Linked DNA regions of Tamandua tetradactyla. The protein of the gene in region 3 purifies or fractionates together with the protein of the main gene of each other region. This does not show direct contact. Links are inferred from orthologs where the notes say so. Each region holds a gene or a part of one and is shown on either strand. Other genes may lie near its edges. The genes, in order: COPG1, COPZ1, COPB1 and COPG2.

Region 1 (7,676 bases), on a different chromosome or scaffold from region 3:
GTAGTTGCTACTTATTGCTCACTAGGTCCAATCAACATGATAGCATCCATATAATGGACCAGTGTGATGTCTTGTGGGAGGGAGAAAAGATCAAGGTCCCTGCGGACAAAGATTACGACATAGGGCTGGAGAGTTGATATACCCCTGAGGTAGGACAGTGAGTGCATACTGCTGGCCTTGTCACCTGAATGCAAACTGTTTTTTGGTGGTCCTTACTGACAGTTATTGAGTAAAAAAAAGCGTTTGCCAGACCAACAGCTGCATACCAGGTACCAGGCAATGTGTTGATTTGCTCAAGCAATGATACTACATCTGGAACAGTAGCTGTAATTGCAGTCACCACATGGTTAAGTTTAAAATAATCAACTGTCATCCTCCATGACCCACCTGTTTTCTGCACAGGCCAAATAGGAGAGTTGAATGAGGATGTGGTGAGAATCACCATCCCTGCATCCTTCAAGTCCTTAAGAGAGGCACCAGTTTCTTCAATTCCTCCAGGAATCCGGTACTGCTTCTGATTTACTATTTTGCTAGGTAGGGGCAATTCTAGTGGCTTCCACTTGGCCTTTCCTACCATAATAGCCCTCATTCCACAAGACAGAGAACCTATGTGGGAATTCTACCAATTGCTGAGTACGTCAATTCCAATTATGCATTCTGGAACTGGAGAAATAACTACAGAATGGGTCCAGGGGCCCAATGGACCCACTGGGAGGTGGACCTGAGCTAAAACTCCATCGATGACCTGACCTCCATAAGCCTGGACCTGAGTGACATTTTGGCTCTCCTGGAACTAGTGTCACTTCTGAGTCAGTGTCTAATAGTCCCCGACATAGTTGATCATATCCTTTTCCCCAGTGCACAATGACCCTGGTAAAAGGTCTTAGGTCTCCTTGGGGAAGGCTGAGAGGAAGGTTAACTATACAAATTTGGGGCAGTGTAAAATGGTGCTTCCCCAAGGGTACCTGGCCCTCCCCTCCTTCAAGGAGCTCTGGGTCTGTAAACTGTCTCAAATTTGGGAATTGATTAAAACGACCGTGACTCACTGTTTTTGTAATCCAAGTTAGACTTCTGTTCATTTGACTTAGAATTTTGCTTTTATAGCTCAAATAAGAATTTAGTAGACAGCCCATCTATTTTACTTCTAGTTATTCCATGATCTTCCAGCCAACGCCACACGTCTCTGCGAGTCAGATTATTCTGACTGCTGCCTTGAGTCTGCTGTCCGTTCTGATAGCCACATTCACCTTGTCTTTGGCGATTAACTGTTGCCACCTGGCTTCTGCCAACTCAGGATCTGATCATCCGCATGGTGTTTAAGGATGCCAGCTCAGTGACAGCAGTTCCCACAGTAGTATCTGAACTACAGAGAAGGGTGACTACAGAGATGACGGATTTATTCTCAAGGTCTGGTGAAAGGTGTGTCCTCTGGACATTCCTGGAGTGTGTGAGCAGGTCTTCCATGATAAATCCACTCTAAATTCCAATCTCTCTAGCCTCTGGATCACCTCATCTATATTATATCAGGGCAGTTCTGGCATTTCGACCTCAGGTAATATTGGCCACCTTTGGATCCATGTTTCACTCAACCATCCAAACAAACTGTTAATGCCCCTTCTAACCCCTAGAGCTACAATACTGAATGTAGAATCTCTGCTTAGTGGGCCCATATCAATTAATTCAGCTTCATACAACTTTATATTCCTTCCATCATTATCCCACACCCTTAATAGCCATTCCCACACATATTCCCCTGAATTTCTATCTATATAGATTAAAAAACTCATGCAGCTCCTTTGGAGATAGCTTACTTCCTCATGGTCACACTTTGTACCTCACCTTTTAGGGCCTGTTGGGACTTCAGTCTAGTTATAGGTCTTGAAGAAAAGGAAGATGGTTGGGGTGGGTCATGAAAAGATGTAGAAGTATCTTTCAAGCCAACCACCTCAGGGCATTCCACTATAGTTTCTTCTGGTGAAACGGGACCAATTGCTCCAGACAGAGAAGTGAGAGCTATTTCCCTAGGGGAGGTGGTTACAGGGTTAGCAGGCACTGAAAGGTTAATCCCTTTAAGTGGAGATTGGATGGCAGACTCCTCTGGGCAGATCGGAAACTGGGAAGCTGTTTCCTCAAGGCAGTCCATTGCAGGTCTATCTAGCAAAGGCTCAGCAGATTCCAGGGATCCCATCTCCCCATCACCATCATTTTATCAAGCCATATATCCCCATACCACGTTTCAGAATCCCATTCTTTCCCAATCAAAGCCTTTAAGGGCAGACACCCTGCAAGGTTGAAATTTTACTTTATGTTATAAATCTGCTACTCTAACAATGAAGCTCTGTGTCTGGTTTTCAGAGATGTCAAGCTTGTGACCACAGGAAATAAGATTTTCTTTTAGGGCACACATAGAAACTTTTACATAGTTCATATGGGACTTAGGTTTCAAATTTGAAGCCTTCAGCTCATCCCTTTCGCTCACCAACGTATCCAGTATATCAAATAACAACCAACCAACATCATAGCTCTTAATTCGACAAAACTCTGAAAAGGTGTCAAAAACACTCTCACCCTGAGCCTTTCCTTGCATAAGTGTACAATTAACAGAATCTAATGGTGATATTTTGCGTATCTCTCTTGCCAGCTCACCCCATAGACTGTCAGTGCCATCTTGATTATTTGTGCCTAACAGAAAACCAATTGTTAAAATCCATTTTTAAGATTCTGTTTTTCAAGAATCACTCCCCGTACCAAGCTTTATTAGTCAGGGCTCCCTAGAAAAAGAGAACCAAGAGGAGACATCTGTAAATATGAGATTTATAAAGGTGTCTCATATGACCATAGGAACAGAAGAGTCAAAAATCAGTAGGCAGTCTCTCTCTCAGCCAACACGACAAGCAAACTCACTGCCCTCTCCCTCTCTAAGTGGGACATGACTCCCAGGGGTGTGGACCTTCCTGGCAACGTGGGACAGAGATCCTGGAATGAGCTGGGAATCAGCATCAAGGGATTGAGAAAACCTTCCGGACGGAAAGGGGATGAGCAAAATGAGACAAAATAAAGTGTCAATGGCTGAGAGATTCCAAGCAGAGTCGAGAGGTTATCCTGGAGGTTATTCTTACGCATTAAACAGATATCACCTTTTTAGTTAAGGTGCAATGGAGAGGCTGGAGGGAACTGCCTGAAAATGTAGAGCTGTGTTCCAGTAGTTATGTTTCTTGAAGATGATTGTATAATGATATAGCTTTCGCAATGTGACTGTGTAACTGTGAAAACCTTGTGTCTGATGCTCCTTTTATCTACCTTGTCAACAAAGGAGTAGAACATATGGAATAAAAATAAATAATAGGGAGAACAAATGCTAAAGTAAATTTAGTTTAAATGCTAGTGATCAATGAAAGCAAGGGGTAAGGGGTATGGTAGGTATAATCTTTTTTTTTTCTTTCCTGTGTTCCTTTTATTTCTTTTTCTATTGTCTTTTTATTTATTTTTCTGAATTAATGCAAATGTTCTAAGAAATAATGAATATGCAACTAAGTGATGATATTGTGAATTACTGATTATGTATGTTGTTTTATTTTTGCTTCTTTATTTTTTTAAATTAATAAATAATTTTTTTTTAAAAAGATGCATAATGTTTCATCCGTTGAGCGTAGCGTTCCATACTTTCCTTACTTACGGACAGTTAGGGTGGGGTATCTTGCCGCAAACTGCTGCAGTGCACAACCTCATTACCTTTTTTTGGGCTAGGGGTGGGGTTACAGGTTACAGGTTTTGAACATCATTTAACTCTTGACAATCTCCCTTTCCCGCGAAACGTGCACGCCCGCTCCCCAACCCCCCAGCCTCCGAGTCCCCCAGCATCAGCACCGCCCAATCCAAAAGGCTGTCCCCGCCTCCATCACTCCAGCACACCCCCTTTGCTGTCGATCCCCCACCCCCACATTTCTTCGCCTGCGGACCTTTGCCCGGTCTCCTGCCTCTCCGCGCGCTGCCCCCTCCCGAGGCTAGCTGGTGGCACGCGTCGCATCGCTGGACCATGCCGACTCAACTCGCCGCAGCGAATGCAATTTGGCACGTTGGCACTCACTGTCCTTACCCTAGCTTCGATTTGGGACGTTGGCACGTACTGTCCCGAGCAGGTTTCCAGAAAGGTGAACCCCGGGTGATGTGTCATTTTCCCTTTTCCATCCCTTCTCGCCCACAGCGCTAGGCGGCGCGGGTAGTTGGCTCTGGGTGAGTACTAGCAATCAAAGTGACGCTGAAGTCTCGTGCTGAGGCTTAGTTAAATCTCTGAAAGTTAATAAAGTACAAAACAGTTTGCACCGGGTGCAGGTGTGATCGGGATTAGGTGGATATGATTATAATAGCAACAGCACACATTCAACAAGCGCTCGTTGCGCACTTACTATTATTCGCTGCGGTGACCAAAAGACAGTGAAAGCAATAAAGTGTAAATATAGTATGTCAGGTGGTGACTTGAGCTAAGGAGAAGAATCAAGCAGGAAGGAGCATTGAAAGTGAGAAATGACGCAGAGATGGGGCGCCCGCCCACCCTCCGAGTCTCCGCCTCTTGGGCCTCTAGCCTCTAGTAAGGACAGGGTTAATGCCGGCCTCGGCTGCGGCGGCCGGGATGTGCGCAGGCGCAGAGCACGGTTTGCGCCTGCGCAGAGCGCAAGGCGACGTGGCTGGACCGAACCCCGGAAGTGGCCCCTGTGGAACAACCGCGGGACCGCTGCTCCGAGCCCTGCCAGGCCCGCGTAGTATTTATTGCTGCGTTGCGCCCCCGTCGGCATCGCCATGCTGAAGAAATTCGACAAGAAGGACGAGGAGTCGGGTGAGGGACCCCAGGCCTGGGTTTGAGGGAGGCCGGACCTCCACGCAAGCCCCCAGGACCCTCCCTGGGAATCCTCTTTAAGGTGCCTCTGACCTGAGCTAGAGGCCGAGGCCCAGTGAGGGGTTGGGGCTTGTGCGAAGATCCAAGACTGGACGGTGGCAGGCCTCGGGGACCGAGCATCCTTCAAGAGACCCCTTCCCCTCGTAAGCTCGGACCGCTACTCGCCGGGTGACCTTGGACAAGTCACGCTCTTCTCTGGGCCTCAGTTTTCCCATCTGTCAGAGGAGAGAGTCGGGCTGGCTACTCCCTTGCTACTTTCTTCGTCCAATCTCTCTGAATTTGCCGGCGCTGCGTTGATGCTTGTCCAAGCTAGGGCATGGTCAGCGGAGTCAGTGTGCTGTGAACCCTAATTCCATTCATTCATTTGTTCAACAAACATATTGAGCGCTTACTGTATGCAACGCTTTGTACAGTCCTGATACAGTCCTAGAACAAGGTAGACAGTTGTCCCCTGGGCTGGACACATTAGAATGGAATAAACAAGACAGTCACAGGTCTAGTAGAGGAGAAGAACATCAATCAGATAATCATACACATGATTAATTACTGAGATGACATCTGCTATTAAGGAAACCTAGTAATGGGACGGTTAGCCCCTGGCACGTAGTAGGGACTCAAATAGTACGGGGCTGCATAAATGAATGCAAAAAGTGACATACACCATGAGAGGCACAGAAGAAGGGCTGTACCAGCAGGGCTGCTAGATGACTGTAAGTGGTTTGGGATAGAGTGGATTCCCCTTGTAGCAGAGTAGTAGGATCTATGGACAGATTGTAGAGCCTTAATTGCATTCATGAGAACTTTGAAGTTTACCAGGTAGCCAGTAAAGAAATCTTTCCCTTTCCTCTGTCTCTGAGAGTTTTAAATTCAGAAATAGAACCAGTATTCATTCTTCTCCATTACTGATTGTAGGTGGAGGCTCCAACCCATTCCAACACCTTGAGAAGAGTACAGTACTTCAGGAGGCAAGTGTCATTTGTTCCCCTTTATCTTACATCATAAATGTTCATGGTTGAGAAGATGAAAATATGAACACATTCAGACAGCTGATTTAGAGAACTATGAGGGAGAAAACCAGTGCCTGGAAAAGCAGAAAAACTTTTGTTCTCAAAGAGAATTCATTAAGCCTACGTTTTTGTTGATGATATTGGTTGTTTCTTCTTTGAGTTAACAAGTGATTACTAAGTATTTGCTGGTTAGTAGGTTGGCCCATCTCTAACTAATATTTAGGGAAGATTTCAGAAGTTGATTTTAGATGGATTGAGGGAAAAACCTCTTCCTTTATGAAAATAAGCTTGTCAAGACAGGTGTATTGATTTACCTTAGGACCTGCCAGAACCTTGAATGTGCTTGAGAATTGTCAGTGGAAGGGATAGAAGATAATAGTCTTGGTCACTTCTTCTCAGGCACGTGTATTTAATGAAACTCCCATCAACCCTCGAAAATGTGCCCACATCCTCACCAAGATCCTTTACCTCATAAACCAGGTAATAGGGTGAACCTGGGAGTGCAAAAAAAAATGGTGCTGGGGGAGGTTTGGGAGAGGGATATATGAATTATCACACACTTAGGTGATTTGACAGCTTTTGGTCCTGCTTTGGGTCTCCCGGAGCATCCAATCCTGTTGTGTTGCCTTTGATGGCACCTCTGCGGGGTCCAAAGAGCTGGCATGGGGTGATGTGACGAAAAAAAAGCCATCTGGCCCCTCCTTCCTAGGCTAAGGCTTCTTTCTTTTTTACCACAGGGGGAGCATCTGGGCACCACTGAAGCAACCGAAGCCTTCTTTGCTATGACCAAGCTCTTTCAGTCCAATGATGTAAGTACCCTGGCCCCAGTTTTTCTTGAGGGGGAGCAGCTTATAAGAAGGTGGTGGGAATAGAAAAAAAAATAGGAGGAATAAAGGTTAAAATCTGTTGAGTAGATGGAAATACTAGTGGTCAATTAGAGGGAGGGGTAAGGGGCATGGTATATGTGAGTTTTTTTTTTTTCTTTTTATTTCTTTTTCTGAAGTGATACAAATGTTCTGAAAAATGATCATGGTAATGAATATACTGCTATGTGATGATATTATGAGCCATTGATTGTATATCATACTAAGAATGTATGTTAAGAATGTTCATGTTTGTATGTTGTTTTGGTTTGATAATACAAAATAAATTAAAAAAAAAAAAAAAAAGATGATGGGAGGACCAAGGAAAGCTGGCTTTGCCAGGCACTGTGGGCTGCCTTTGAGAGATCAGGGTTTTTTTTTTCCTAACTCTGGCCCTCATGGTGAGCCAGGGATGATAGGGCTTTTCTCATCTCTCACAGCCCACACTCCGTCGGATGTGCTATCTGACTATCAAGGAAATGTCTTGCATCGCAGAGGATGTCATCATTGTCACCAGCAGGCAAGTTGTTGGTGCTGTGGGTGGTTCTTCCGATGGGTTCCATGGACACAGAGGACATTTTTCCTCTTATGTGTACCAGAGTATGAGACTTTTGGTTGGCATAGTCATCTGGCACTCTTGCCCATTCTGTCTGCCTCATCCTCCAGTTACTGGTGCCAACCCCATGGTGGCCTGCAGGGTATGCTGTTTCCCTTTTAATTATCTGGCTTTAACTTGGACACAAACCTCTTCCTCCCTTTGAAGTACACAGAGCCAGAAGAAGCAAGAATAGCAGGAGAACATGGGTTGGGAGATGTTTATAGTAGTCCAGGCAAGCGTGATAACCTTGGACCTAGAGAGGAGTAGAAGAAGGGTGTGGGTTCAGGGGAGCAGGCCTGTAACTGAGGCGGGGC
Region 2 (7,278 bases), on a different chromosome or scaffold from region 3:
CAATCCATCTATAGAGACAAGGTCTGAATTGATTAAGTAGGATTTCAGAACCAAGGTACAATTCAATGGATTGGGTTTCTGTTCCAGCCAAGTTAATATAATTGATTCTGTTTATATGCACCTCAGCTATTTTATTATAATTGATTGGGTTAGAGCTTGATTGTGTTATGGCTCCAGCCATTTTACTTTAAGAGATTAGGCGAGGTAGAGCTTTGGCTATGTTGATGAAATTACGCTTTCCTGAAACTACATCAAGACTTTTGCTACTTCTACAAACAGTTGATTCTATCCATCACACTTTGACTTCTAATTTCACTTGTGACACATAATCTTTTGGGGAGTTTTTTTTTACTGTCACTGTTTTGTGTGCACTTGAACATAAAGAACTGTGGTGTCTCCCTAGTTAGTCTTTATGCCTTTCACTTGTCCTCTTCTCATCCTACCTGCACACGTGCAGTCAAATTAATGATCTTAAAATTGCTTCCATAAACTCATGTTTCTGCTCAGAAGTGTTCAATTATGTTCAGTTATTTATAAAATAATAAGTAAATACTAAGCATTTAACAGTTTACACACATTTTCTCAAACATTATCTCATTTAATCCTCCCAACTTTATCCCCATTTTATGATAGTCCCTTTTTCATTTATTAGTTTTAAATTGCTTGTTGTAACAAAGTCCTACAGGAACAACATATATAAAGAAAATCTATTGAATAATCCACTCTTTCCATCTCATCCTCTCAGGGTAACCTATGTTAATATTTTTCTTCCATATTTTCCTATATTTTCTCTTTGTCTGGAATGCTCTTCCCCCAAATATCCACATGGCTCATTCTCTAACTTTTTTTAGGTGTCTTATCAAATGTACCCTTCTTAGTAAGGTCTTCTGGGACCATCTTATTGAACCTCTTGCCTCTCCTTCACATCTCACTGTGAAAGGTACCACTCCATATTGTGCAACATAATGGGATCACTCCCGGTTTTCCTTTTTAGTTTTAATTTTTTTCCATAAACCTTATCACCACCTAACTCTTATATAGGTTACTTATTTCTTCGGTTTATTCTCTGCTTCCGCTGCCTAACTACAATGCAAATGCTACAAGGGCAGAGGTACCTGATTGTTTTGTTCACTGCTATAACCCCAGTGCCCAAAGCCAATGCCTGGCACATGGCTGGCATTTGATAAACATTTATTGAAAACATATACAAAGATATTTATGATAGAGTCTTAAAGTTTTTAAATGAAAAAAATAATCAGTTACCCCAACTATTTTGATCAATAGGATTGTCTAGACCACTTAGGTTTTTTTTTTAATTTTTTTGTTAGAGAATTTGTAGGTTTACAGGAAAATAATGCATAAAACACAAAGTTCCCACATACCACCCTATTATTAATACCATGCATTAGTATTGCGACAAATTGTAGCATTTGCTACAATTCATGCAATAACATTTTTATAACTCTTCAATTAACTATAGCCTATTGTTTACAATAGGGTTCACCATGCCATGTTGTCCTATGTGGTTTTTTTTTTCATTTTTATTCTAGTAATATATATAAAACCTAAAATTTCCCCTTTTAACCACGTTCAAATACAGAATTCAATGACGTTAATGATATTCACAATGTCGTGCTGCCATCACCACCATCCATTACCAAAATTTCCATCAACCAAGTTCTGGGGTACCTGATCAAGTTAGCTGGAATACTATGAATGCAGCATCTCAGGTAAAGATTCAGGTGGATATAAGGAAGAAGTGGGCTGAAGTAAACATCACTCAGGAAGAAGGGAGAGGAAACTGAGGTAGGAGAAAATGTGACAAAGGGAAGATTTTCTTTCACATATAACTCCCTCAACTTACCACTATTCATAGACCCTTTGTTAAAAGAGTTCTCTAAGGGATGTGAGGGTAGCTCAGTGGTAGAATTCTCGCCTGCCATGCGGGAGGCCCCATTCGATTCCTGGCCCATGCACTCCCCAAACAAATAAGCAAACAAACAAAAAACCAAACAAAAGCAAAAATTCAACAAATGGTGGTGCAATGAACGGATACTCATATGGAAAAAGAATGAAATGTGACCCCTGCCTTACAGCACACAAATTAAAAAAAGAGTTTCCTATCATCTCTTACTCCTTTACCTCCAAGTAAGCTCCTTTCTAAATAGGTGTAGGAAGGTATCTAAAAATTTCTAAAAACTAGTATCTACCTCATCTGATACCTTATCTGTTAACTGGTTAACTGCCTACAATAAAAAATATCTTATTAAAAACTACCTGGATTTTAAGATTTTTACCTAGATACTCCCCTCTCTGCTCCTTATCACCATCTTTCTGTCCAAACCCCAATATTCAAGCCTAAGCATCCCTGATTGGGCTCATAGTTGGTCAACTGTTTCCCTTCCCATTTTATATGTAGTATCTAATCTGAGTTGTCCCAAAACCTTGGTGGAAAGATCGTCAAGTTGGAGTCTTCTGCTGTGAAATTATTTAGACTGTGCCTCTCCATACTCTTTTCTCAAAGAGGTTGCAGGTTGAGTTACAGATTACAACAAAGAGAGCTCAATTCCAACCTCATCAACTGAAGCCTTGGGGGTGGATCTATGTTTCCTTAAACTATAAGCGTCCAGTTTGAGACTCTGAAGTTCACAGATAATGGACCTTCATGTTTTGTGTCCAGGGCTTAGCATCTCTGCAATTTTAAAGGGACAAGGTGATAAATCAAGTCAGCTCAATCAGGTATAAAAGAAGTAATTTCTCACACGCCAGTCCCTCAATTCCAGATGACTTTCTCTGCCATTTTTCAATTTATATTTGAGACCTGGATTGTTGAGCTTTGTCACTTGGGACTTCATCAGAAAATCATTTACCTTCCTCTTGTTTTTGTTTTTGTTTTTGTTTTTTTATTAGAGAAGTTTTGCTTTACAGAAAAATCATGCAGAAAATACAGGGTTCCTCTATAACCCACTCACGCACATAGCTTTCCTTATTATAAACATTTTGCATTAGTGTGGTACCTTTGTTACAATTGATGAAACATTATTATACTTATAACTATAGACCACAGTTTACATTAATTCACTCTTTGTGTTGTATAGTCCTATGGTTTTTAAAAATTGTTATTCTAGTAACATTTATACAACGTAAAATTTCTCCTTTTTAACCACATTCAAATACATAATTCAGCGATGTTATTGTGCTACCATCACCAGCATCTATTACCAAAACTTTTCCATTGTTTATTTTACTTCTCTCTTACGCCCTCTGACTCTACTCTGAAACTATGAAAAAAAAACTCTTGGGTTGGTTTGGACCTTTTCTTGGAGGGATCCTAAAGACAAAGTTGTCTGAGATGGGAAATATAAATTCCTGTAGGGATAATATAAGGCAATGAGAGGTGCCGAACTACGGGGGTCAGGCACCAAGGAACCAAGGGTTGGGGAAAGCAAACTTGATCAAAACCCTGCCCCATTGTGAAATCTCTGCACTTAGTAAACTTCTCTTTTCTCGTTTTGCAACGGCTTGTCCCTACTGGAAAACCGCAGACACTGCTCCCTGTACCCTCCCTCCCTTGTCCTGGTCCTTTACAAACCCTTTACCCCTCCTATTTTTCTCCTTTCAGGCGTCTAAAGCTCTAACGTCTCATTTCACATCTGACCAAAGGAAACTGTTAATAGAGAAATTCACTGGCTTCTTTTCCTTCCCTGGGTCCTGCAAAGCCTGGGACTCCAACTTAGAGAGATCTTTACCGTGGCGGCCTTGGTTCTTCTAGTTAAAACGCGAGGCATCTAGTGTAGTGGCTCCACTTTGTGGTTGTACAGACTTCCTTTGAGGATGCTTAAATAGCTGACCAAGCCTGGAGGGTGTCAGGCATAGCTGCTCCAGCAACCCGAAGTAACATGGACCTAGGGTGGGCTCTTGGTATAGTGATTAGGATAGGATTCTGTCACCGGCTGCCAGTGCTAAGGGCCAAAAGGTCATAGCGCCCCCTACAGGCAGTGCTGATTAAAGTTACTTAGGCGAGTCGACGGTATCACGTACGCTCTACTCTACCAATCGAAAATTAATAATCGCTTCCTCTGTTCCCCATGGAAACAACCCCGCCCCTGTCACTCTATGCCTCATTCCCTGGAGCGAATTTGGCTTTTTATTGAGTATTCAAGCTGACAATCAAATATCTGAGTTTTCTGGTTGGATATCTTACTTCCGTTGAGAAAGCTAGTACATTGATTGGTCAGTAAGGCAATTCTGGCGTCTGGTGTCCAATGACCCTTATCCTAGGGGGCTGCTTAATGGAGACGTAGAGCCAATCAGCGGCTGCGTTCTTTTTGCGGCTCCACGTCGGCACCAGCTGCGGGGCAAGATGGAGGCGCTGATTTTGGTAGGAGTCGGAGGGGCAGGCGAGATGCTGAGATGTCCATAGGGGCCGGAGTCGGGTTCAGCTCGACTGGAGGGAGGAGAGGGGGCAATTCTGGGTAATCCTCGGGGACCGGAGGTTCTGCTGGCCCTCGGAATAAGCGTGTGGCCTAGCACAGGAGCTAAAGCCTCGGACCGGAGTAGGAAGCCCTGCCGGGGAGAAAGAGGGTCATAGAGTCGGTGAAAAGTTGAAGGGAGCACATGGAGTCCGAGGATACATAGAATTATAAGCGTGCAGGGTTGGGGGCTTCTTTAGATTTTCCCTAATTCTTTACATTGTGGGTGATCTCCTGATCTGAGTTTCCTTAAATATCTAAATTCGCCCCAAATTGTAGGATTAGAGTTTTCTCATCACAAGTTGTGAGTTTGATGGCTATGAGTTTGACATTCCTTGCCGTATTCCTTCAAAAACCGTTTTTCTCCCTACTTCGGTTTCCCGTTAATTCCTGTTATGTCTGTCTGTCTTGATGAAGAGTAAGTTTATTCCACTGAAGTTCTGGAATAGCTCATAGAGTTAGTTTGGATTGTAGAATATTTTTTCCAGATTCTTTATTCTGTTCTCCTTTTTCCCTCCTCATTTAGACTTTTGGAATTCTTACTGTAGGATCTGCGATGCTGACTCTCTCCCTGGATACATGAGAATTGTAGTGGTTAAAGGGGCATGTTAGCCCGTTTTTAATTCATAACATCCATTTTAGTTGTTCAAACCAGTAAAATACCTATTACTCCTTTTGACTGGACCTAAGCATTTCTCTCAAAAATATCCTGTCTTCAATTTGGAAATATATATATATGAATATGAATTTATGATATGATATGAATTTAGTTCCTGGCCTCCTTCCTTGAGTTGAACTCTAGAAAGCTTTCCGGGAGACTTTTCTTTTCCTCCGACTTTATGCACATCCGTATCCAGATCCTCATCATCACGTAGAAGAGACTAACAGGTTTCAGTTTTCCCCTCCTTCAAAACTGGCAAAGGTGGAGATAATTCCTAGATTGTTCAAATCTAGGTAGAAAGCTTAAAATCCAGGTACTTTTAAATATATTTTTAGTAGCAGGCAGTTAACCAGTATCCTTAACCAATTAACAGATAGGATAGATAGATGCTAGGGAATTGGTTTCTTTGGAAGTTTTTAGAAATTTGTAGATACCTTCCTTACATGTTTAGAGGGACCCTGCTTGGCAGTAAAGGAGCAAGAGAAATGATAGTTAGGGTGCCCTTTTAGCAAAGGGTTTATGAATAGTGGTGAATTGAGGGAGTTATATGTGAAAGTCTTCCCTTTGTCACATTTTCTCACACCTCAGTTTCCTCTCCCTTCTTCCTAAGGGACATTTGTTCCAACTCACTTCTTCCTTATATCCACTTGAATCTGTACCTAAGATGCTGCATTCATGGTGTTAGAGCTAACTTGATCAGGTACCCCAGAACTTTGCTTTAAAAATCATACTGAAGTAATCAATGCCTAATGAGTAGGGAGTTTTTGTGTAGGTTGATGGACATTTTGGTAATGGATGGTGGTGATCGCAGCATGACATGGTGAATGTGACTATTACCACTGAAGTGTGTACTTGAAAGTGCTTAAAATGGGAAATTTTATGTTGTATATATGTTACCATAGTAATAATATAATCCTCATGCTTTTTTTTTTATCCTGAGGGACCAATGTAATTATGTTAAATGGGAAATCAAAGTACGAGAAAACTTTGGTTCAACAGGATAAAGATCTAAGGTGAGATACAGTGAGTCCACATTCTTTTCACAGTGAAGATGATGACCTAAGAATTGTGCTTAAGGAAGCACAATATCAAAACTAGGATTAGATTGGATTTATTCAACCTCTAAGATCACATCCCTCTATGATGTTACCAAGATTCTCTCACCATGGGCTTTCTCCGTCCTCTGTATGCAAAATTGTCCTTTCAAACATCACCAACAGATATTAATCCCTGTACTGGTCTCCAGAGATTTTAAGATATTAAATTAGTATTATCTTTCCTTTGGGTTAACTCTTTTCAACATTTTTTGCTCTTTACATACAGTTATTTGGGGCTCTCAATTAAGAATTTAAACACTTTTCTTCACTTTTCCAGCTTTCTCAACTGGAGTTCCATGAGCCTTAATGCCCTAAGGCATCCATTGTAATGAATCAGTCTCTATCCACTGCATCCAGAATGCCATTCATTATGAACCCTCCATTGGGGGAAGTGAGAAAATGGTCACTTAAATAATTTTCTGTGTTATGTAGTTCTGATGAGGAACTTTTGTTGAGAATCAGGTAATATTTCCTAAATCTCTATTCTCTCCTCATTATTGTTACACACTGGTCTACCAAAATTAGCTCCATTTGATTGAGAATCAAACTTCCTTACAGTACCTTTTTTAAATCTCATCCTCTCTTCTGTCTATTCTCAGCCATATCTCCTGATTCTTAGGTCATCATCTTCATTGTGAAAACAATGTAGACTCTCTGTATCTCACCTTAGATCTTTATCCTGTTGAACCAAAGTTTACTGTACCAGCTGAGTGTTTAACAGGCCACTCCCTAGAGAGGGCAAACTCCTTTCAGAGTAACTTTCCTTTTCCTCCTTTCACATTTCTGTTTCCTGGTTTGGCTGGACCTCTGGGGAAATCTGATCAGAAAATATTCTTCTGTCCTCACTCACCTTGACATAGCACACAGTTGTAGAAGAAGTAAAGAGTTGAGAAGAAGGAAAGCGTAAACTAGAGGTGATCAAGTGGAACTATTGATCAAAGTTGGCTCTGATTATGAGAATTTCTTAATCCCAATAGGTTCCCTTCACTTAGGTATGTTAGAATGGGTCACATTTCTTTCCTGAATTAAGTAATCCAGCTCTAGCTTT
Region 3 (7,277 bases):
TTTAAGTCAGTGAGAATGACAAAAACAAAGTATCAGGAGAACTAACAGTGGCGAAAGCAATAACTAAGAAAATAAGAAAAATAAGGCAAAGTTCCAAGTAGTTAAAGTCATATTCAATGAGCTTACACAGGCTTTCCCTCTCTTTGTTCCAAAGCTCCCTTTCTAAATAATTTTTAAAAAAAAACAGAGAGAGATAATTTTCTAAATATTTGATGACATAAAGGACACAAATTTCAAAAAGCATAAAAATTTTTTAACACTAAAACAATTTAGAAGTTTTAAAAATAAATTTAATGGTCAATTTGCCAAAAAATAAAAAATTGACACCACTTATATTTCAAACCCTCACCCCACTTTCCATTTTATCCCCAACAATTCAAATTGAGGTGAAAGGAAGGATGCTTCTTTCCACATCTTCAAAATTTCCAAAACTTTTTCTTTCTGTGAACACTATCAAAAAATGGAAAATCTCAAGTACTAATCGAATTCACCAAAATACACTAAATACTTCCTACTCCAAGGAATGTACAGTTATTGGACCTCACAACTACTCTCTGAAGGGAAAGAAAAGAAAATAGTTAAAGCACTTCAATATTTCACCTAACAAAAACTATCTGCTGGGCGGTGGCTCAGTGGCAGTATTCTCGCCTGCTATGCCAGAGATCCGGGTTTGATTGCCGGAGACTGCCCATGCCAAAAAAATATACATATATCTGGTTACTTAAAACTGAAAAATAGCTCTTAAACTTTTTCTCATCTCAATTATTCTGAGATGAGCAAAAAAAAAAATACACAAAATTTGAGACTACTTGTTTATTTATTGGTGGGGGGAAGGTAGTTTAGACAGCTGGAATTAAAGAAAAAGTATTGTTCCAGTTAAGGACTGAGTTCCTTCTTTAACTTCCCAGCTACAACCATAAGCATTTTTGAAGTCTAATATGAACTTTTAAATTATAAGAAGAAGAACAGTATTGAGAATTTATTCACTAGTTTACATTCCATTCTACTATCTTACCTGAATGTTAAAAAAAAAAAAAGACGACTATATACGTGGCCTTTGCATAAAATGTTATCAGTTTAAATGTCATAAAAGAGAGTTGCTTTTCCCTTCTCTAATAATTGATTCCAACGGAAATCTAATACAAAGTACCCAAAAATCAGGAGATATTCCATTACTGCTGATTAAGAGGTGGGGAACAGGCAAGTAAAATGTTAAGTTTCTTTCCAAACTGCAAACTGCCTTCTGAAAGATACTTTTAAGTTCTGAAATATTAATTTCACGCTACTCTATTTTAAACATTAGTTACAGGTTAAGTTAAAGTTATGGTAATAGTTCAAATAACAAGGCTCATTACTTTGGAAAGTGCAAAGTGCATTACTTTCTAAGAGGTGTTTTTTCAACAGTCACAAACACACAATATATAGTTTCAAAATTCAAGTTAAATTTTTTCTTGTTTTTATCTTTGCAAAAAATGTTTTCAAAATGAAGAACTCAAACCTTTCCGGAAAACACATTTTTATTCCTGTGTTGACTTCATTTGTTCACCTAAGAACAAAGTCCTTTTCATTTTATAATCCACATAATATGAAGTTAACTTCCCAAAGAAAGTAAGACATTCAAATACACATCCTCAATCTGCTACCCACAGAGAACTCTCAGTTCATTTAAGCATAACACATTTAACTTCACAAACCATTATGCAGAAGGATACCTAACAACTAAACGATAACATTTTCATTTAGTTTTACTAAGCAAATTGAAATGTTCTACTTCCAAAGCCCAATATCTCAAGTCTAAAGGTAACAAGTTTTCACTTTAATAAGACAGAAGGTCTACTGAAGAGACCCTAGAAAGAAATATTTAGACAAAAAGTAAGTCTTTCCAGTGGAAGTTGAAATCCTAATGAGTTTTTGTTTTCATATTTTAGCTTTTTACCGTTTCGTTTTCAAAATATTATTAAAGTTTACCTAGATCGTTTTTTAAGCTAATTTCCGATGGTGGCTCTGAATCCATAGGCACGTTAATTAACGTATAGCACACGTTCTCAGCAGCCGTCATGGTTTCCGATTATAATCAACCCAATAAAAGATTTAAGGTTGACAGACGCCAGAAAATCTAGAAAAAATAAATACAAGATATCATTACATGTTAAGCACACACAAACCAGTAACTACTGTGACCTTTACTGTCTAAAGTTCATTCGCTTGGGCATAATGGTTTGAAAATATTAGGAGGGGAGGGTCAATCTCTATTGGGTCTCTATGAAAATAAATCATAATGTAATATAAAACAAGTTAGCCCCAGGTTAAGGGATATTATTTATCCCCTATCGCATCCTCGTACCCCGCCCAGGGTTTGAGAATGCTGTACTATACAATTAAAGTCCACAAAACAGTGACAGCCCTCAGCTCCACCCCACAAATCTTTAACATAACATACAATCCGAACTGCTCAAGTTGATGAGACCCTTTGCATGAACACTTTGCCAAAATCTTAAAGCGCTTTTATCCCGTCCATTGGGCTCTCAATTCTGCGTCCGTCAGTCAGTCCCTCAATCGGTGCGCTGCACGCCCCCCACCCCATCCCCAGCCCGGTTTCCTCCCGTAATGCCAGTACGGGCCTGAAAGGGCGAATCCAGGGATCCTGGAAGGGAGACGACCCCTGGCCAGCATGCAGGCCGGTGTGGGGCTTCGGGCCGAGAACTCCCCAGCCCCCCTGTTCCCTTTCGCCAGGCCCCGACACCAGCGGCCTAGTCACCCCCTTCGCATCTCTCAGCTAGAAAGCTAGTTCCACAGACTCTACGTTGCCCGCCATGCCTCTGGGATTGGGGGCTAGTGGCCCGCTACCTGGCTCCGAGGGGCAGCGGCTCGGACAACGGCAGGACGGTCTATTCCGGCTCCAAACAGCGGCTGCAGCGGGCCTAGAGTCCCAGGCTGACGTGGAAGGGGAGGGGAAAACGACCGAGACCTGCAGCTATCTAGTGTCTACGGCAAGTCAGAGAGGCCATGCCGTCTCCGTTCTGCGGTTGCGCGCCGCCAATTATATCGTTTACTTCTCCGGTCCGCTGTTGGTTTTAGCCGCAAAGGAAAGTAGAAACACATAAAGTTTTCCCTGCAGGCCAAGCGCTGAAGTCAGCGCTGTGGTTCCTCACACGCCACTTAGAAATCGTTCCCTTTTCCAGGAACTAGAACAGCCGTGGGGAGGAAACGCGTAGAGAGGGGAGACTTACTTTATGGCTGTTGGGTCCAGAGGAAGCACTGGACTGAGAGCTGGAAGCCCGGGATTGTTTTCTAGTTCACCCACGAATTAAGAAAGTAATTGATTACTGTTTGGGAAGGTAATTTCTGTATTTGTAATAAGGAACGCTGTATTATCTGCTAGATCTTTTTCAGTTCCTAACATCTTCAGTTGTTTGATCTCGCCTTCTTTGCAGTTCGGCGAGAGTAGCTTAAATATCAAAGTCCGAGTCGCACCGGTATGATTTCTGCTCTTTATTTAGTAATGCTTCCGTTTGTGATTCTGAGCATCCAGGAAATTAAAATTATTTTATGGTCAAAGGGAATCGACAGTAACTGTTTTAAAAGTGTTTTATCTTCCCCACAAAACTAATTGCTACAGATACAATTAAACAATCTCTTTTTGCCTGTCTGTGATCCCCTACCCCCACAAAAGAAGGTTTCCTGGCCGATTATTAATAACCAAATATTTGAAGAATTGAGCAAATCCTTGTGGATGCAAGGAAACACTGAGTTCGCTATGTGCCCTTGTAGGTGAGAGAGGAACCCTGACTATGTTTACCATGTGCCTTTCCAGATGAGAGAGAAACTCTGACTGCGTTCACCATGTGCCTTCTCACTTGAGAGAGAAATCCTGAACCAAGATATCTTTTCCTGGATGCCTTTGATTGGACATTTCTATAAGTTTGCTTTAATTGAGACATTTTCTTGGCCTTAGAACTGTAAACTACCAATTTATTACATTCCCCTTTTTAAAAGCCATTCCATTTCTGGTATATTGCATTTCAGCAGCTAGCAAACTAGAACATCCAAAGTATACAATCAGTGGTTCACAGTATCATACCATAGTTGTGTATTCATCACCATGATCATTTTTGAACATTTACTTCACTCCAGAAAAAGAAATAAAAAGGAAAAAAAATCATACATCCCATACCACTTACCCTCCCTCTCATTGACCACTAGTATCTCAATCTAACCAATTTTTTTACCCATTCCCTCCCCATATTTATTTTTGTCCTTATTGTTTTACTCATCTGTCCATACCCTGATTAAAAGGAGCATCAGACACAAGGTTTTCATAATCACGCAGTCATATTGTAAATGCTATATAGTTATACAATCTTCTTCAAGAATCAAGGCCACCTTCCAGGTCAAGATGGCGGCTTTAACAACGTGCACGTTTTAGTTCGTCCTCCAGAACAACTACTAAATAAGCAGAAACAGTACAGAACAGTTCCTGGGGCCACGTCAGTGACCAAACACACAGCGTACCCCAGTCTGGACCAGCTGGACCAGCTGCGAGTACCCCCCAGAACCGTGAGTTCCCAAAGCTGCGGTGGCCAGCGCCCCTCCCCCACAGGCCGCTTCCCAGAGGGGAAAGGAAAGGACTTTACCAGCAGCAGGGACTGGGCACAATCAAACGCCAATTGTGAAAATAATTAACAAATTCTGACTACTAAAAATAGGCCCCCAGCTTAGGTGAACCTGATCAAAGTGGAGGTTGCTCATTTTTGCCCCGGTGCCAAAGGGGGAGTACTGACAGAAAAAGGGGAGGGGGGAAAAAAAGGAAGGAAACAGGTTTTTGTGGCTGTGTATCTACAAAGGCTTGACTGCCTCTGGATACAGTGATAGGCCTTTTCAGGCTGCAACTGCCCAAGGCATAGGCAGAAGTGAGCTCTTTTGGGGGCTTGTCTGGAGGCTGTGCCTTCCCCAGAGGAAGGGTGAAGTCCAGCTCAGGTGGAATCCATCCATCAAGGAATTCAGACACCAGGGCTCGGTAATGTGAAGCCATTAAAACCAGCCTACAACCTCTCCTCTGTCTCCACCACGCCATCAGCAGGGAGAATGTGCCAAAGTTAAAGGTACTGCATCATCTTATGCTGGTGGGGCCTGCAATCAGACAAGCGCCACACACAGGGCAGGATAAGAAAAACAGAGTCCAGAGACTTCACAGGAAAGTCTTTCAACCTGCTGGGTCTCACCCTCAGGGAAAACTGACGCAGGTGACTCTTTCCTCCTGATAGGAGGTCAGTTTGGTCTGGGAAAATCTGGCTGGGGTATATAATATCCAAGTAGACCCTCCTAAGTGTGTGTGGGGGGAAGGCACCACACAAGCAGGGCAAGAAACAAGAAAACAAGAACTGAAAAATTCTCCTCTGTTAAACAAAACTTAAGCTAAAGGTCCAGATAAAGCTGAACGGAATGTCAAAGAACAGACAACAAATTCATCCAGCAAGAAAACCCTAGATAAAAGAAGTGAAAGCAATCTCCAGAATAAACTGATTAAGGTAATTAAATGCCTAGACACCAGCAAAAAATAACAAATCACACTAGGAAAATTGAAGATATGGCCCAGTCAAAGGAACAAACCAACAATTCAAATGACATACAGGAGCTGAAACAATTAATTCAGAATGTACGAACAGACATGGAAAACCTCATCAAAAACCGAATCAATGAACTGAGGGAGGATATAAAGAAGGCAAGGAAAGAACAAAAAGAAGAAACTGAAAGTCTGAGAAAACAAATCACAGAACTTATGGGAATGAAAGACACAGTAGAAGAGATGAAAAAAACAATGGAAACCTACAATGGTAGATTTCGAGAGACAGAACATAGGGTTTCTAAACTGGAGGACGGAACATCTGAAATATGACAAGAAACAGAAGCTATAGGGAAAAAAATGAAAAAATATGAGCAGGGACTCAGGGAATTGAAAGACAATATGAAGCGCAAGAATATATGTGTTATGGGTGTCCCAGAAGGAGAAGAGAAGGGAAAAGGAGGAAAAAAACTAATGGAGGAAATAATCACTGAAAATTTCCCAACTCTTATGAAAGGCTTAAAATTACAGATCCAAGAAGTGCAGCGTACCCCAAAGAGAATAGATCCAAATAGACATACTCCAAGATATTTAATAATCAGAATGTCAGAGGTCAAAGAGAAAGAGAGGATCTTGAAAGCAGCAAGAGAAAAGCAAGCCATCACATACAAGGGAAGCCCAATAAGACTATGCGCAGATCTCTCAGCAGAAACCATGGAGGCGAGAAGGCAGTGGGATAATATATTTAAATTATTAAAAGAGAAAAACTGCCAACCAAGAATTCTATATCCAGCAAAATTGTCCTTCAAAAATGAGGGAGAAATTAAAACATTTTCAGACAAAAAATCACTGAGAGAATTTGTTACCAAGAGACCAGCTCTGCAAGAAATACTAAAGGGAACACTAGAGACAGATGCAAAGACAGAAGAGAGAGATGTGGAGAAGAGTGTAGAAAGGAAGACTATGAGTAAAGGTAAAAAGAAGGAAAATTAGATATGACATATCAAACCCAGAAGGCAAAATAGTAGAAGAAAGTACCACCCATGCAGTAATAACACTGAATGTTAATGGATTAAACTCTCCCATCAAAAGACATAGTCTGACAGAATGGATTAAAAAACAGGACCAACCTATATGCTGTCTCTACTCAAAGGACACGAGGCAAGGACACAAATGGACATTTACACACCAATGTTTATAGCAGCATTATTAACAATTACCAAGAGATGGAAACAGCCAAAATGTCCATCAACACACAGTTGACTAAACAAACTGTGACATTTACATAAGATGGAATATTATGCAGCTTTAAGACAGAATAAAGTTATGAAGTATGTAACAACATGAATGGACCTTAAGGACATTATGCTGAGTGTGATTAGCCAGAAAGAAAAGGACAAATACTGTATGGTCTCACTGATATGAATTGACATTAGTGAATAAACTTGGAATATTTCCTTGGTAATAGAGACCATCAGGAGATAGAAATAGGGTGAGATATTGGGTAATTGGAGCTGAAGGGATACAGATTGTGCAACAGGACTGAATATAAAAACTCAGAAATGGACAGCACAATATTACCTAACTGTAATGTAATTATGTTAAAACACTGAGTGAAGCTGCATGTGAGAATGATAGAGGGAGGAGGGCTGGGGACATAAATGAAATCAGAAAGAAAGATAGATGGTAAAGATCAAGATGGTATAATCTAGGA
Region 4 (7,314 bases), on a different chromosome or scaffold from region 3:
AGTAAACCGATATATTTTATTTAAAAGCATGTGTTTATTTCTCAGTCTGCATTTGTAAACAGCAAACATTTATTAAATCTCTGGATGATGTCTTCAGTCATGATTCAGAGTAAAGATAAAATATTCACAATTCAAACTGGAAACCAGTCTTCTTAGTACAAATGTAAACCACTCAAGGTAAGTGGGTGTGCATGAATCTAAGAAACAAAATCACATTTCTAACTCCCTAGATATGTCATGAGATTTTATTAGCCTTAGGCAAAAAAGAAAAACATAAGAAAAATACAATTAATGACAATAATAGCAAGAAGAATCCAAATTCCATGAGAGCATATTTTGTCTGCTCCATGCTCAGTACCTAGAACAGTGCATAGGACATAGCAGGTATGCAATAAACATTTGCTGAATGACAGAATAAAAATTATTTCTGAATGCTTACTATGTGCTGAACTCTCAGTTCTTACATTTATAATTTCATTTAATCATTACAACTTCATAAAACAGGTATTGGCATGATCCCCATTTACAGAAGAGAAAATAAAAGGACAGTTAAGTTAGTTGCCCAGAATCATACTGCTAGTTAACAATTAAGTAGGAATAGTAAATACAAATCAAAATATTAAAATCAAATCAATGATTAAAATAAAAGCTATGGTCTAATCTACAAAAAAAAGAGTAAAGATATAAGTCTGGAATTTGTCTAAGACTTTGCACTTTATTTTTAGAGGTACATAAGGTACATGTTCTAACATTAACTAATACTTGTTAAATTCAAATCAATAAGCATTTATTGAGAACCTACTATATAGTTAGCTAGCTTAGTAGCTCACGAATACAAAACAAGTATATGTGATAGTCCCTGTCCTCGAGACATTTTACATATTAGTATGTTAATCAAATACTGTACTTTTAAAACTTAAATGAATTTTTAAAAAATAAATAATTATACTTTCCAGAAAGTAGTTCACTGCATGGCACATATTTTTACTCCAAGACACAAATCTGAGGAAAATGAAAATAATTTACCTGGTTGAGTAAGTAAAGAATCTTAGTAAGAATATGCAAACATCTTCTGGGATTGATCGGAGTTTCATTGAATATACGAGCCTATAAAACAAACATAAAAAACCAGCTTTAATAAAAGAGATTATATATAAAATATCACAATGTCCAAATAATGTCAATGGCTTACAGTTTTCAATTTATTATATTTTATTAAAATAAATTATTAGATAAATTATTAGATGTGATCCTCATTTTCCCATTTTATACCTTCTAATTCATTCTCTTAGGTCCACTACTTAATTTTGTGAGCTTTATCTCTTAAATAAGAATCACAAGGTTTATCTACATCATATGGCTACAAAAAGCTTAACACCTATAACTTCCTTTAATAACCTTGCACCAAACATCTCTCCTGACATTTTATTTAAAATTCCCAATGCATAGCAGAGCCTGCATGCCCGTGCATTTCTATAAGCTCTAGACTCTTCTATGGCAAGTAACCCCTCTTCCTTTTCCTTCAAGTCTCTAGTCTCTGAACTCAGTTATATTCCCTAATTCCATCTTATTTTGGATATCCTGATCACAACATCCCAGGGGTTATACGCCCACAATTCTAAGATAGAATATGTAAGAAAGAGCACAATGTAGTTCTAAGCCATACCTCCTGTAAGACAGCACTCTTCTCCAGATGCTGAAAAGGATTGGAGCTACTACCTACATTACAAAGAAAAAAAAAAGCCTTTAACTGTCCTACACAAACTTATTTACATTCAACAGAAGGTTATCTAGTACTTGGGAAATCGCACCTAAGTGAGGTGGCCACTTGGATATGGCAGTGGTCATTATAATATGAATACAAATTGGATAAAATTATTTTGATTCTTGCTTTAAGATATTGGACTTCTCTTTTGCAGCGTCTTCTTTTCCTCCCCTCTTTTTACATGAATGATACAAATATATGTCATCTCCACATAATATTAAGGATATTATAGTAAAGCACTTTGGTCTTCCTAAAGGCAAGCACTATTTTTTGTGCTTATAAAATTTACTGAGAGATAGAAATGAATAATCTAAGAGAGAATCACACAAACTTAAACCCTGGAAGGGATCATGAGGTTTACTGAGCCCTCCATCGTGTTTTGTGAGTGTGGCTATCAAGCACTGCATACTGGTTTTGGGATGACTTGGCATCTTCCCCACTTCCACTGGATCAAAGGCGGGTGGGTGTAAGTCCAAACTCACTTCTGGGAGTCAGAGCATGAAGTGAGCTATGTACCATGGGACTGTCTTGCCCCCTGGGAAGTAGACAGAGAGAATGTCCCAGGGAAGACTATAAGGTATGAAGCGCAACAAACTTCACATACACACTGTCCAGTCAATCCCAAACCCCAAAACGGGGCTCCCACTAACACCAGGAGCACCCACGGCCACTCAAAAGCGCACGCTCACACCTTCAGCCACCTGCCATGGGCCCGCCCCCTCTCCAGGCAACCCACGCCCCCGGAGCAGGGGGGAGGAGGCGCGGAGGGGCTACGCCGCCGACGGTTCGGCGCCCGGGGACAGGGCACCTGGGGCGGGAGGGGCCGCTGCGAACCCCCAAGCGGTGCACGGGTAGCAGCGCACGAGGTTGCGCCCGAGTGCCTGGGTCGCGAGCGCGCGACTCGGCCGCCCAAGGGGAGGCTCTGGGGCCCGGGGGAGGGGCTACTGGCAGGGTCCCCCCGCTGGAGCGTAGGGGAGGGGCTGGGCTCAAACTCCGGCCCCTCTCACACCGGTACCCGCGCCCCGCCCCCAGGTCCGCAGTCCCAAAAAGCAGGTGGCGGGAGGCGGAGAAAGGGGCCCTCCCGCAGGTGAGGGTGGCCGTAAAAAAGGCCAGCGCGTACCAGACTCCTCGTCCTTCTTGTCGAATTTTTTAATCATCTTGGACGACTTCCCAGCGCCCAGACCCACCACCACCGTTCAGGGCGCCGCAGCCGGCGAGCGGAAGAGGCTGCAGGAAGGCCGACCCCGGGCTCTCGAGCCTGTTGGGCTGCTTTCCCGTCACTCCGGTAGAAGGTCCGCCCTCCTACCCCGGCTGTCAGCGGCGGCTCTTCTCCCCGTTCCCCCGCGGCCACGCCCTCTGCTCCTTCCCTACCCGGGCGGAGGCGGTGCGAGGCGCTGGCGTTGCCGCCAGAGCCTGAGAGGTCGGAACGAGGTGCTTGCCAGCCCACTTTTACGCCCGGAGCAGGCAGGAATGTGATTTTATTTGATTGGCATGTACTCGATAGCAGACTTTGCCGGCCCCCTCAGTCTCCGGAGTGGGAGGTGGGAGGCTTGAAGAGTTTTTCACTTAACCACAGTGGCTGTTTTTATAATCCACTGCTGGACCCTTCCATTGAGGAAGGTGCTGTTTCCTGGCACAGTTCTAGTGGGCTTCTCTCCCAGGAGCGATGAAAGGGTTAGTGGTTCCCAAATCACCTTGGAAGTCGGTATTTCACTCACTGGCTTGGAAACTGCAATAAAGCACATGGCACCGTTAGGTGAAGGTGTGCTTCCGGAGGGTCTAGAGGGAATGTGAAGCGTGAAGAGACTTGGAAGGGCCAGAAAGCTGGTTTTTACTCTAAGCGAGCGGTAGATTTTGGACCTTTCCCAGTCTTTGTGAGTTTGGATTCCTAGCCCTCATCAAAACCTGATTTAAACATACTGCCAGTTTAGACTTCTTCTATTCCTCCCCTTTCAAATTATTCCATCTTCAACCATATTGCCGCGTAACTCTTAATTGGTTAACTTGCATTCACCTGTATATTCATGATCCACTGAGAATTTTACTAAAGTGTATGTTGGTTTCCAGTTCTTTGAGAGTGTAACTAAGAAACTTTTCCTGTCTTTAACTTCAATGGCATGACTTTTTATCCAGATTCTCTTTCAATTTTTGTGGATTCTTAGGAAGCTTTCACTGTGAGATTTTCTTTCTCCAGTCCCTCTCCACTTTTGTATGCATTATCTTTTTTTTTTTTTCACATGGTCAGGCACTGGGAAACGAATCCAGGTCTATGGCATGGCAGGCGAGAACTCAGGCGAGAACTCTGTCAGTAAGCCACCATAGCCTGCCCTGCATTATCTTTTAAATATCCCTTGAATCTGTTCCTTATCTCTACCACTATCATTATCACCTTAGTACAGATCCTCATCATCTATCTCTTGGACAACGTCCTCTCCAGCCTTTCTGGCCCCATCTAAACCATTCTCTATGTGTTCTTTAGTTGCATGCCTGGTAAACATGGAACATTATTAGGGGCAGGGATATGCTAGCAATCTCCTTTTCTAGAAGTAGAGACATTGGTCTCCACAAAGATTGTTTAGGAAAAGCACTATAATGGGTCCTTTAGGTATATGAGTGGAACAAGTATCCATTCATTTTTTCTTTAGGGTAACTGTAAAATTGCTATAAATCTAGTAGATGCTGCAGATTGAAATATTAAGTGTTCTATTTAGAATGTAAATTGGGTATGTCCGTAATAAGATTGTGTGCTTGCAAAAGTACATTCTTTCTCCCAAATATGGATTTAAGCTGAACTATTGATATCCTACATATAGTATCATCTAAGATTTAACTCATATTTTACCAAATGTGCTATCAACTAATATGTTTTTTCTTATCTAGCTTATGAAATCCAGATCATATTTTCCATGTAGAGTTTCCCTTGAAGGAAGTAGATATTCCCACTGTCATTTATTCTGGGGCTGAAAATAAAGAAACTATGGAGAAAGAGAGAATCTCTTTCTCTTTCTTGGGCAAAGGGTCTCAGGGACCTAGGCAGAGAGCGTCCACAAGCCAGGAGATTCCCAAGAACAAATAATATGCTGAAAGCATACTGGGAAATATTAAGGAACTGAGGTTAGGTTTGAGACCAAGCATAACGGTTGCCCCTTTAAGTGCAAGATAAATCGCTCACTACTGTTCTGTAACTTTCCCCTATACCCATGAAGTTTTGTGTAACAGAACAGCTTGGTTTTAGCTGTATAGGGGAGTTAAAAGAGGCAATGGGTGGGGTTGGAGTGCAGTGACAGATAGGCTCAGGAGGAGCAGAGAAACCTGAAGAAGCCAGTTAAGCAATGGTATGCTATGACTCAGACCTCTAGAACAGTGCTATTTAGCCTGAGAATAGCAGGAAAAGGTGTTAGGCAATCACTAGGATGGTTCTGAGGAACAAGTATACTTTAGGGAGTCTCAGAAATTACTTGAGAGACCCAGTAGGAGAAAATGAACCTTATTTTGAAGCCATAAGTTGATGAAGTTTAGGGACCCATCGGTTATACTTCTAATAAATGTGTATTCAGTACTCGGAAATCCTTCAGTGGGTTTCAATCGCCTACTGGATAAAACTCAAGCCTTTACTTATGTAATATACAAGGCCCTTCATCATCTGGTTTATCTGTCTCACGTATTGAAAATGCAATTATTGGTGCTTGGCAAGTATCCAACACCTAGTAGCTACCACCACCACCACCACCACCACCATTAACATTAATTTAATAATAATATGTGAGGAGCATTCTCTTTTCACCCTTTCTCACACAACCTTATTCCAAACCCTTTCTACCCTATGCCTTCATGCTACCTGGAAAAGACTGTGGCTCTCCAAGACTCGTACACTTATCCTTTGACCCTTCTAGTTCAGTTTCCCCCAAAGTGTAATATGCGTGGATGGTTTTAGGTGATACCTAGATAAACATTTTAAGGTATTATGAATTTGATTTAATGTGTGTCAAGAAAATTATATAATTAGTATATCAAATCTGTGATGTCAAAGATATGGTTTTGCTTAGGAAAAGAATCAAGAAAAAAAATCCTCTTAAAAAAATACTAATAATGGGACACATAATGCATTGATAAGGCAAAGCAAGCCTATCAAAATGATACATAATGTGGTTTGGTAAACACTTAAGTTCTTGAAACTTAAGAATATAAACAGAGTCCAAAGCCTAGCACCACTTGAGCCTCCATCAGGTCCTTGCTACAAGGGAAAACTAGTCTTCAGTATCACCATGCGATGATTTTTCTACATCTCCAGTCCCCATAGGTTCTACCTCCAGCCCACATCTCAAGTCAGAAAGCCATGCTTTACAAGAGAGGAACTTACCGTCTTTCCTCATATCCCTTTTAGAGACTGGAGCAAAGGTGAGCTGAGGGTACATATTTTTCTGTTTCCTCAAAGCATAGACCTTTGAATACTTCCCTTCACTCTTGAAATCATTGTCAGTGGAAAACCTTAACAAAGAAAGTTTGTTTAGTAGATCCTAGGGCAAGTTAATGGAACTAGTCACTTGAAAGTCAGCCACATTTTAAAAAATTCTGTGAGATAAGAAGGGACAATGACTAGAAGGTATTGATTGGAAGAGAGTTGGAGTATTGTTCAGTGGCAAGAGACGCTTCTGGAACCTAGCACTGTAAACCTTTGGATAAACTCTAGAACCTCCTCCCTTTTCTCCAAACTAAGTATAGTCTGCTCTGGTTTGCATTACTCTCTTTTATCAGAACATAAATGAGGTTGAGGCTCATGTAGGAAGCGATGTCTTATTGTTACACAGTCATACATATTCCCTACTTTCAAAAAGTGTTGAATGTACTGAAGAGAGTAACACAAATGAGGAAAAGATAGGAAAGAAAATGAGTACAAGAAGAACCAGGGTTTCACCTAAACCACTGTTCTCGCTTGGATGCAGAATTGTCCAACAGTGTCACCGGGAAGGTTGGTTTCAGCTCAGGTCTTGACTTTTTCTTTTGAGGCATCAGGGGCAGACAGAAGTTTTCAATGGGTTTGTGCTGATAATGACTTTCCTGCAGCAGAGGGAAGAACTGCAAGTGAGGGAGTTCCTGGACAAAGTTCCAATTCCCCTAAAATGATGCAGTAAAACCTGTCAGATAGTGAAGTGGAAACTCAGAAACTCATACGAGAAAAAGCCTCTTCTTGAGTGGCATAGTCCTGTCGGTTTCATTGTTAAATAACTTGTCCAAAGCGTGGCCAGTTTTCTAAGTAACTGACTGAACTTGCCCACTGGCCCTTTGTAGTGAATGGTATAGGAAGTTACCCTGTTTTTGAGGATTCAATTAATGAAAAATCAAATATTTGGTAATTAATTGGGCAATAGATCCATGGGGCTGTACATTCATTTCTCAGAATCAGCTGCCTCGTCACCATGCCACTCTCTGCCTGCAGTGAAAAGGCCATGGAATGGGATGTTTTTGTTTTGTTTTGCTATTTTATTAGAGAAGCTGTGGTTTTACAGAAAAATCATGCACAAAATACAGTGTTCCCATATACTACCCTA

The links.
Region 1: the proteins of COPB1 (region 3) and COPG1 fractionate together in Homo sapiens (co-fractionation; 11 studies listed by BioGRID and IntAct, counting the BioPlex papers as one, with this or other methods). This does not show direct contact. The link is inferred for Tamandua tetradactyla from reciprocal best matches to the Homo sapiens genes COPB1 and COPG1.
Region 2: the proteins of COPB1 (region 3) and COPZ1 fractionate together in Homo sapiens (co-fractionation; 8 studies listed by BioGRID and IntAct, with this or other methods). This does not show direct contact. The link is inferred for Tamandua tetradactyla from reciprocal best matches to the Homo sapiens genes COPB1 and COPZ1.
Region 4: the proteins of COPB1 (region 3) and COPG2 purify together in Homo sapiens (affinity purification with western blotting; 4 studies listed by BioGRID and IntAct, with this or other methods). This does not show direct contact. The link is inferred for Tamandua tetradactyla from reciprocal best matches to the Homo sapiens genes COPB1 and COPG2.

Annotation. Positions count from the first base shown.
Region 1 is NC_135335.1:31,965,160-31,972,835, reverse strand, and holds the start of COPG1 (coatomer subunit gamma-1), read left to right. Parts: upstream 1-4,671; 5' UTR 4,672-4,797; coding exon 4,798-4,834; intron 4,835-5,806; coding exon 5,807-5,859; intron 5,860-6,300; coding exon 6,301-6,381; intron 6,382-6,638; coding exon 6,639-6,710; intron 6,711-7,204; coding exon 7,205-7,284; intron 7,285-7,676. UniProt on the Homo sapiens protein: The coatomer is a cytosolic protein complex that binds to dilysine motifs and reversibly associates with Golgi non-clathrin-coated vesicles, which further mediate biosynthetic protein transport from the ER, via the Golgi up to the trans Golgi network.
Region 2 is NC_135333.1:115,697,364-115,704,641, forward strand, and holds the start of COPZ1 (coatomer subunit zeta-1), read left to right. Parts: upstream 1-4,267; 5' UTR 4,268-4,363; coding exon 4,364-4,381; exon of another isoform or gene 4,382-5,009; intron 5,010-7,278. UniProt on the Homo sapiens protein: The coatomer is a cytosolic protein complex that binds to dilysine motifs and reversibly associates with Golgi non-clathrin-coated vesicles, which further mediate biosynthetic protein transport from the ER, via the Golgi up to the trans Golgi network.
Region 3 is NC_135334.1:89,871,123-89,878,399, forward strand, and holds the start of COPB1 (coatomer subunit beta), read right to left. Parts: upstream 3,001-7,277; 5' UTR 2,848-3,000; intron 2,117-2,847; 5' UTR 2,060-2,116; coding exon 1,969-2,059; intron 1-1,968. UniProt on the Homo sapiens protein: The coatomer is a cytosolic protein complex that binds to dilysine motifs and reversibly associates with Golgi non-clathrin-coated vesicles, which further mediate biosynthetic protein transport from the ER, via the Golgi up to the trans Golgi network.
Region 4 is NC_135327.1:172,420,639-172,427,952, forward strand, and holds the start of COPG2 (coatomer subunit gamma-2), read right to left. Parts: upstream 3,014-7,314; 5' UTR 2,923-3,013; coding exon 2,886-2,922; intron 1,720-2,885; coding exon 1,667-1,719; intron 1,108-1,666; coding exon 1,027-1,107; intron 1-1,026. Other genes in the region: TSGA13 (testis-specific gene 13 protein), read right to left, coding at 3,328-3,494, 6,126-6,253, 6,681-6,880. UniProt on the Homo sapiens protein: The coatomer is a cytosolic protein complex that binds to dilysine motifs and reversibly associates with Golgi non-clathrin-coated vesicles, which further mediate biosynthetic protein transport from the ER, via the Golgi up to the trans Golgi network.